Linked DNA regions of Canis lupus familiaris. The protein of the gene in region 1 purifies or fractionates together with the protein of each later gene. This does not show direct contact. Links are inferred from orthologs where the notes say so. Each region holds a gene or a part of one and is shown in the gene's direction. Other genes may lie near its edges.

What was found. The genes of interacting proteins can lie anywhere in the genome.
Region 2: the proteins of THEMIS (region 1) and GRB2 purify together in Homo sapiens (co-immunoprecipitation; 6 studies listed by BioGRID and IntAct, counting the BioPlex papers as one, with this or other methods). This does not show direct contact. The link is inferred for Canis lupus familiaris from reciprocal best matches to the Homo sapiens genes THEMIS and GRB2.

What each region holds. Positions count from the first base shown.
Region 1 is NC_049222.1:67,028,110-67,031,609, reverse strand, and holds part of THEMIS (protein THEMIS), read left to right. Parts: intron 1-1,086; coding exon 1,087-1,545; intron 1,546-3,500.
Region 2 is NC_049230.1:5,987,318-5,991,389, forward strand, and holds the start of GRB2 (growth factor receptor-bound protein 2), read left to right. Parts: upstream 1-1,272; 5' UTR 1,273-1,424; intron 1,425-4,072. UniProt on the Homo sapiens protein: Non-enzymatic adapter protein that plays a pivotal role in precisely regulated signaling cascades from cell surface receptors to cellular responses, including signaling transduction and gene expression.

The sequences.
Region 1 (3,500 bases):
CACAGAAGCCTAAAAAGCTATATCTTAAATAGTAAAAAATTGGGGATCCCTGGGTGGCGCGGCGGTTTGGCGCCTGCCTTTGGCCCAGGGCGCGATCCTGGAGACCCGGGATCGAGTCCCACGTCGGGCTCCCGGTGCATGGAGCCTGCTTCTCCCTCTGCCTGTGTCTCTGCCTCTCTCTCTCTCACTGTGTGCCTATCATAAATTAAAAAAAAATTTAAAAAAATTAATTGTATTAGTGATTATCCAATAGTATTAGAGGAAAAATTTTCCAATAGTGAAAATTGGCAAAATTAGAGAAGCAATGAGAAGAATGATATATAACCAAAAATATTCAATCCAGAACAACTACCTAACCTGGCCTTTTCCTAGGAGAGTTATATGGAGCACCAATATATTATGGTATGGCATGCTGTAATTTATCAATGGATGTTTTCCCAAGAATTTTATTATAATCAAATTTGCAAAATCCTGCACATTATATTCTCTTCTTGTGAGCAGTGCTGCATCTAAATTTTCTGAGAAGTATTTAATTGGAAATATGTAGGTATTTCTTATTATGGTAAAATACACATAGCATAAAATTTACCATTTAAAAATGTACAATTTGGCATCATTAATTATATTCACAATGTTGTATAACCATCACTACCGTCTCCTTCAAGGTAGATAACTTTGTGCTTGCCAATTTGACCATGAAACAGTTTTCTTCCAGAATATCTTCCAGAATATGTCCAGAAAATATAGTTATAGAAATACTGATCTAATCCAATCCTCTTAATTTAAAAATTAAAGATAGAAAGTGTGATTTTGAGAGATTAAATGCCCTCCTCAAGATGACACAGCTAGTCGGGATACAGCAGGTCAGGATCTCGTTCTTATTTCCCACTTCAAGAACAGGGGCTTTTCTATTTCTAGGTATTTTCCCCTTGTTTCCATCTGATGATCCAGTAATTTACAAATGATACATTACCATGGTAACCAGAGGAATTCAGGATTAAAACAAATATATTTCTTTTTAAAAGCTACATTGTACTGGTTTTGTAACTCACAACTCTTTAATTTACATAATTCTTCTGTTCTTAGGTCTTTTTAAGATTGTGGCTGATAAAACTCCATACCTCACTATGGAAGAAATAACACGGACCATTCATATTGGATCAAGTAGACTAGGGCATCCTTGTTTCTATCATCAGAAGGACCTAAAGCTAGAGAATCTCACTATAAAGCAGGGTGAGCAAATCATGCTCAACTCGATTGAAGAGATCAGTGGAGAAATCATGGTGAACTGTGGAGTGGTAAGGAGTCACCAAAATCACTCGTTTACTTTGCCTTTGTCACAAGAAGGAGAATTTTATGAGTGTGAAGATGAACATATTTATACCTTAAAGGAGATTGTTGAATGGAAGATACCCAAGAACAGAACACGGACTGTGAAGCTTACAGGTTTTTCAAATAAGTGGGACTTAACAAATCCATTCCCTAAAGGCTTTTATGGTGCTCTGATTCTCAAGCCTGTTTATGAAATTCAAGGTGTGATGAAATGTAAGTATCCACTGAGAATGTTGTTCTACGAGGGTGAGCACTGTGGGATTTGGGAAAGAGGAAGGCTTTAGAGTTTGAAGAATGCGACCCTGTCCCTGACTTGTCCTTTAAGCCCACTGAGAGTAAGATTCTGATCTATAAATAAGTAAACCATGTATTTGGCACAAGGATAAAATTGAATAATGCGTATAAATACGTACTGTAAATTGTGAGGTGCTATCCAAATGCAAGTTGCGGTAATTGGCAGGTGCAGACAGGTTAACCTACCAAGTCATTTCTATCACTGCTGGTTAAACATGGTCAGAAAAGAGCTACTTTTAAAGATAGAGCCTATTTGGTTAGAAAGAGTCTTTCTTGTATGGAGGTGGTCAACAAAGTGATAAAGATACATAGTTTCCTAATATGTCCCTTACTGCTATTTTTGTGATAGCTTCCCACCCCCACCCCCCCTGCCGGCTACTCATCATTGGTCATAGATCTTATTAGCTGGAAGTCCCTCTGACTTACAGGAAATGATGTGACAAATTAATTGACACATAAGTGTGTTTTAATATGTAACCTATATAGGATTGTGTGCATTTAAAAATAGGAATAGCCAGAGAGAGCACTGTTACCCTAAAGGAATTAATATTTTGAGTTTTCAAGATTATGGCACATCAATGGGCAACCATGGAGCAAAGAGTTCTGCATTTGCAGTCAAAAGTCCTGGATTCTAACTCTCAGTCAATAACTTAATGGGTGGTGACTTTGAGCCATTTAAACTGTGTCTTTGCAAAAGGGATGATGACAGCTCTTTACCTACCTTTTAGGGTTGTTTTGAGAATGAAATAAGATTGTATTAAGATACTAAATATAATACACTGGAGGAAAAAAAGCAGTATGCAAAAATGTTTGGTCAGAGGGTATCTCTTGGCTCTCTCAAAAAAAATTTTTTTTGGCTCTCTCAAATTCTATTTATCTCTGCTCCCATAGATACTGTTGGTCACTTACATAAATATGAAAAAAAGTCTGATGTGAACCTTTGTGTAGGTTTTAGAACTACATGTTAAATTTTGTTACATGTAAGTAATTTAACCAGAAATTAATTAATTTATCTGAATTAAAGTTACAGGTAAGGAATTCCTCAGTGATTATATTTTAATACTTACTGCAAAAAATTGAGGCCACGGCAGGATCATTTTTTAATATGGCAAAAAAACAGAAGTTGCAGCAAATTTTAGACCTCACGTTAGTGTTTTGTTAGCTATCCCAAAATGTGTAATTGAAATTGATAATTGAATTTTCCTCAATTTTCGTAAATAATGGATATCGCATTTTCTCATCTTAAAATTTGTTAATTTTTAAAAATCATTGTCATCTCCTATTATGTAGCTGCAAATGTAGAGCAACCCAGAACCTAAGCATGCGAACAAGGTGGTTGCTGCATTTAAGGAATTTAGATTAGGGATCAACAAGGCTTCTCTGAAGAAATGACATTTAAACTAAGACCTGGAGGATGAACAGAAGATTATCAGGTAAAGAAAGAGAGCACAACATTGCAGGAAGTGATAGCAGTTTTCAGGAAGGCAAGTAAGCAAGATATTGGAGCTCCAGCGTAGCTGGTATGAGAAAAGAGAGGACAGGTTGAGACAAATATCAAAACATGCAACGGGGTAGTGGAATCAGTCATGGAGAGACTGAAATATATGTTAAGGGGTTAATACTTGTCAAAAGAGGAAATTAATACAGGATTTCAGTCGAAGGGACAGGGTCAAAGGAGTGTAAGGAGGCCATTGGGTTTATGGCAGGTTATTGGGGATTAATACAACAGTGATATCAGCAGGACTCTTGCTCCTAATGGGTATTTAAGAAGTACAACCAGCAAGATTTGGAAGTCTATGGGAAGGAAGAAAAAAGCCAACCTGATCCCAGGCTTCTGGCTTGATCTAGTTGGATGATGATACGGTTTACTAAAT
Region 2 (4,072 bases), on another chromosome or scaffold:
TAGGAGTTACTTCTTCAAGCCTCATCTGCTGCTCCCCCGTTCTCACCCGCCTCACACAGGAATCGAACAACTTAGCATCGCACAGAACACGACTCTCTCTCACGCCTCCGTTCCTTTGTACAGGCATGCGGTTCCCTTCGCCCGAAGCGCCTTTCCCCGACAGCTCCGTCTAGTGAACTCCTACTCGTCCTCCAAGACTCAGCTCAGACATCATCATCACCTTCTCTGGGAGGCTATTCTGAGATGGGCAGAGTAGCAGTTCTCCCTCCCATCTTTTTAGCTTCCTCAGCATTCTCCCAAATAATTCTAACATTGCATATGGCATTTTTTTGTTTTCTTCCGCTCCTCTAATTTTTTAAAAGATTTTACTTATTCAAGATTTTATTTATTCAATTCATTTTTAAGATTTTATTTATTCAAGATTTGATTTATTCAATTCATTTTTTAAGATTTTATTTATTCATTTATTCATTTATTATTCATAAGATTTCATTTATTCATTATTATTCACACACAGAGGCAGAAACATAGGCAGAGAGAGAAGCAGGCTCCATGCAGGGAGCCCAATGTGGGATTCGGTTCAGGGACTCAAGGATGACGACCTGAGCCAAAGAAAGATGCTCAACCGCTGAGCCAGCCAAGCCTCCCTCTCCGGCTCCTGTAGACCGCGATTTCCTCGATTTCCTCGAGGGCCGAGATACCTGTTCATCATTGTACCTCTTTACCCAACACCTGTATACCTATACCTATGCCTAGGATTAGCACACATCAGGCACTTGATTAGACCCATGAGCGAAGAATATGTTCATTCGTCTAACAGTGCGGTTTGGACCGAATTCTCAAGCATTTCAAAAGCTGGTCCTCTATTTGGAGCGCTTCAGGATAGAGGGAGATTCCGACATCCCCCGGCAAAATCCTCGGTTTGATGGCAGGAAAAGGGAAGTGATTAGGCTGTGATGAAGAGTTGCTCCTTCAGGGCTCAGCTGTCATCTACCCTCCTTGGCACAGAGAGGGTTACAGCGACCCAGAGGCGGGGCCACGTGGGTGCCACCTGCTCCGGGGCGGTCTGGCGCAGGCGCCCTGGCGTCTAGACGGCGGCTACCTGCGGGGCCCCGGCCGAGGAGGAGCGCGTGCGCTCTGGGCCTTTTCCGCCGGGGGAAGTCTCGCGGGGGCGGGGCGAGGCGGGACGGGGCGGGGCCGCGCGGGGAAGTTCTCGCGGGACCCCGACGAGGAGCGGAAGCCAGGCGGCTGTGTTGCTGCTGCTAGCGAGCGAGCGGGCGGCGGCGGCGGCGGCTGCGACGAAGACTGAAGCGGCGACGGCGGCGGGAGCAGGCGCTGCCCTCGGGGAGCAGCAGCGCGGTCCGCGGCCGCTCGCACCGCTGCAGACGGGTCGGCCGGGCGCGGAGCGGAGCTGCTGCGCCACGGTGAGTACGGGCGGCGGCGGCGGCGGCGGCGGCGGCGGCGCTGCTGCTGCTCCGGTGCTGCTGCTCCCCTGCTCGGCAGCGGGAGGTGGCCCGCGAGGACCGGGCCCGGTCTACCGAGGGCTGCCAGGGTTGGGGATCAGGGTCGGGGCGACGAGGCCTGGCGCGGAGAACGGAGTCCCCCGGGCTCCGTATTTCCCTTTTTGGGGCGCTTCCTTCCTGGGGACCGTCCTTCCCTTAGCTTAGCTCGGGGCAGGAGGCCGGGTGCGCCTCTTTAAGTTTCACGCTTTCTCGGGGGACGGCTTGCGCAGAGGGGCCCGGGAGAACCCCGGGAGCCCTGGGTACTCATTCTGTGAGTCAGTCTGACTCGGCCCGGCCCGGGAGGCGGGGGATTCGCCGCGGCTGCAAGTGTGGTGATTGATGCTCTTGCGACCTGCACGGCCACCACGTCACCATCTCCCGGTGTCTTTGGGCCAGAATTTGGGGAGGGAGCCCACCGACCCTATGAATACCGTGATTTAGAACTTTTGCTGCCGGAGCCAGCTGAGATGTCTAGTTTTTTTGTTTTTGTTTTTTTGAAACTACACTGAAAAATACTTGTAAAGAACAATAAGCAGCAGTTGGTTGGAAATGCTCCGAGGAAAGGTTTCTGTGCAAGAGGATAAGGAAGGCACTGGTATTTTTCATTTGCATCGCTCTCCATATACGCCCCGTGAGTTAACAGCTCGTTTAGGGAGTTCTTCCAAAAGGTACGATTTGCAGAGGAGCCGAAGTGCACTCGACCTGTGTCTTTTGGTACTGTTGACTCAGAAAAGAGCCCAAAAGACACATGAAAGAAGATAGCATATCTCTTTGGCTTTCCTGTCTCTCTCTCTCACTTTATACTTCTCCAGTAGTTGCCTTCCCTTTCTACCTACTTGTCTCCATTTTCACTGGGGACACTAAGTGTTTGCTTGTGTAATGCAAGTCATTTGCTCATCCCTCCCCCCCTTCTTCTAATCTACTTCCCCTTCCTCCTTTTTGTCCCCTCTTTGGCATAATTTTTCAAGGTTTCTGCCCTTTGGTGCAGTTTGTCTTCTCCCTCATTTAAAGATTCCGTTTTCTCTCCGGGGAAGATACCCTTTTTCCTGCTTTATCCTTCACTTTGAAGCGTCCACTGTGTTCCTTCAGTCAGCCAGAAGAGTTGCCAGAGAGCCTTGGGAGACTTTAAGTTCTCCCCCTGGGAACTGGGAGGCTCAAAGGATTGAATTCATCCGTAAGTAATCAATACTGCCACTAGGTCACAAGTGTAGCTTGCTTGTGTTATTTGTGTTTTAGTTGTTCTCTTCATTTTAACATTGTGCTTTTGTGCCTGCTTACACTTTTCTTCCTATGTCTCTTTTATACTAGTAAGGAAGATTGGGTCAATTTGGGGTTTGTAGGACTTCTTTTTCGGCTTTTAGTGGGAGTGGTGTGTGTTAGAAAATGAAAACCAACCTTAGACCTATGTTACAGTAGAATTAAGATAACATTAAATATTTAAGGGAATAGAATTTCTTTAGATCACTGATGAATTAAAACTTGCCCATTGGGCAGCCCCGGTGGCGCAGCGGTTTAGCGCTGCCTGCAGCCCAGGGCGTGATCCTGGTAGACCTGGGATCGAGTTCCACATCGGGCTCCCTGCATGGAGCCTGCTTCTCCTCTGCCTGTGTCTCTGCCTCTCTCTCTCTCTCTCTCTCGCTCTGTGTCTCTCATGAATAAATAAAATAAAATATTTAAAAAAAAAAACAACTTGCCCATTGTGGCAATTGGATTCTTTACCAGGGTTCTTCTAATGGGGCATCGTTGTTACTGTTCTTGGGGTTTTTTCGATATAAATAACTGTTTCATTACTCCTTCCTTTGTCCAAAATTTTCTGAATTCCCAAAATAAAAACCGAAGTTAATTCTTGTAATTGGCTTTCTTTGATACTAAAAGCAAGCATTTAAGTGCTTGAGGCAGTTTACTCCCTTAGCAAGTGTATTCAGATTTGAGGGATTGCTGGGTTTTAAATACTACTAGTTGATGGTACTTAGCAGTTTTTTTGAGAAATTGCTGTTATGTTGCCTGTTGTGCAGCAGCAGTTCTGATTGTTGCCTAGAACAAAATAATAATAGATTTTGGAGAAATTAATACAGAATAGAGATGTACCATGCTCTCCTGAGAGAAATTAATAGTTCCTTGCTTAGTTCAAAAGACTTTCCTAGCACTACTGAAAGGCTATTGAGAGCCCTTGGTTTTATTTGTTAAAGTTGGCTTTTTCCTAGTTGAGCCAAGTGAATGTGCATTACTTTTATTTTATGCAAAGACATTGTAGTGCATTATCTGGAATGCAAAGTTTGAAATCTGGTTAAGGCATTCTACTAGTACAGCAGTGATTCTTAAAATTTAGCATGCTTAAGAATTACCTGTGAATCTGGGATGCCTGGGTGGCTCAGGAGGTTGAGCATCTGCCTTTGGCTCAGGGCGTGATCCCGGGGTTCTGGGATCGAGTCCCACATCAGGCTCCCTGCTACGAGCCTGCTTCTCTCTCTGCCTGTGTCTCTGCCTCTTTCTCTCTCATGAATAAATAAATAAAATCTTAAAAAAAAAAAAAAAAGAATTACCTGTGAATCTTATTTTAAATTAGGCTC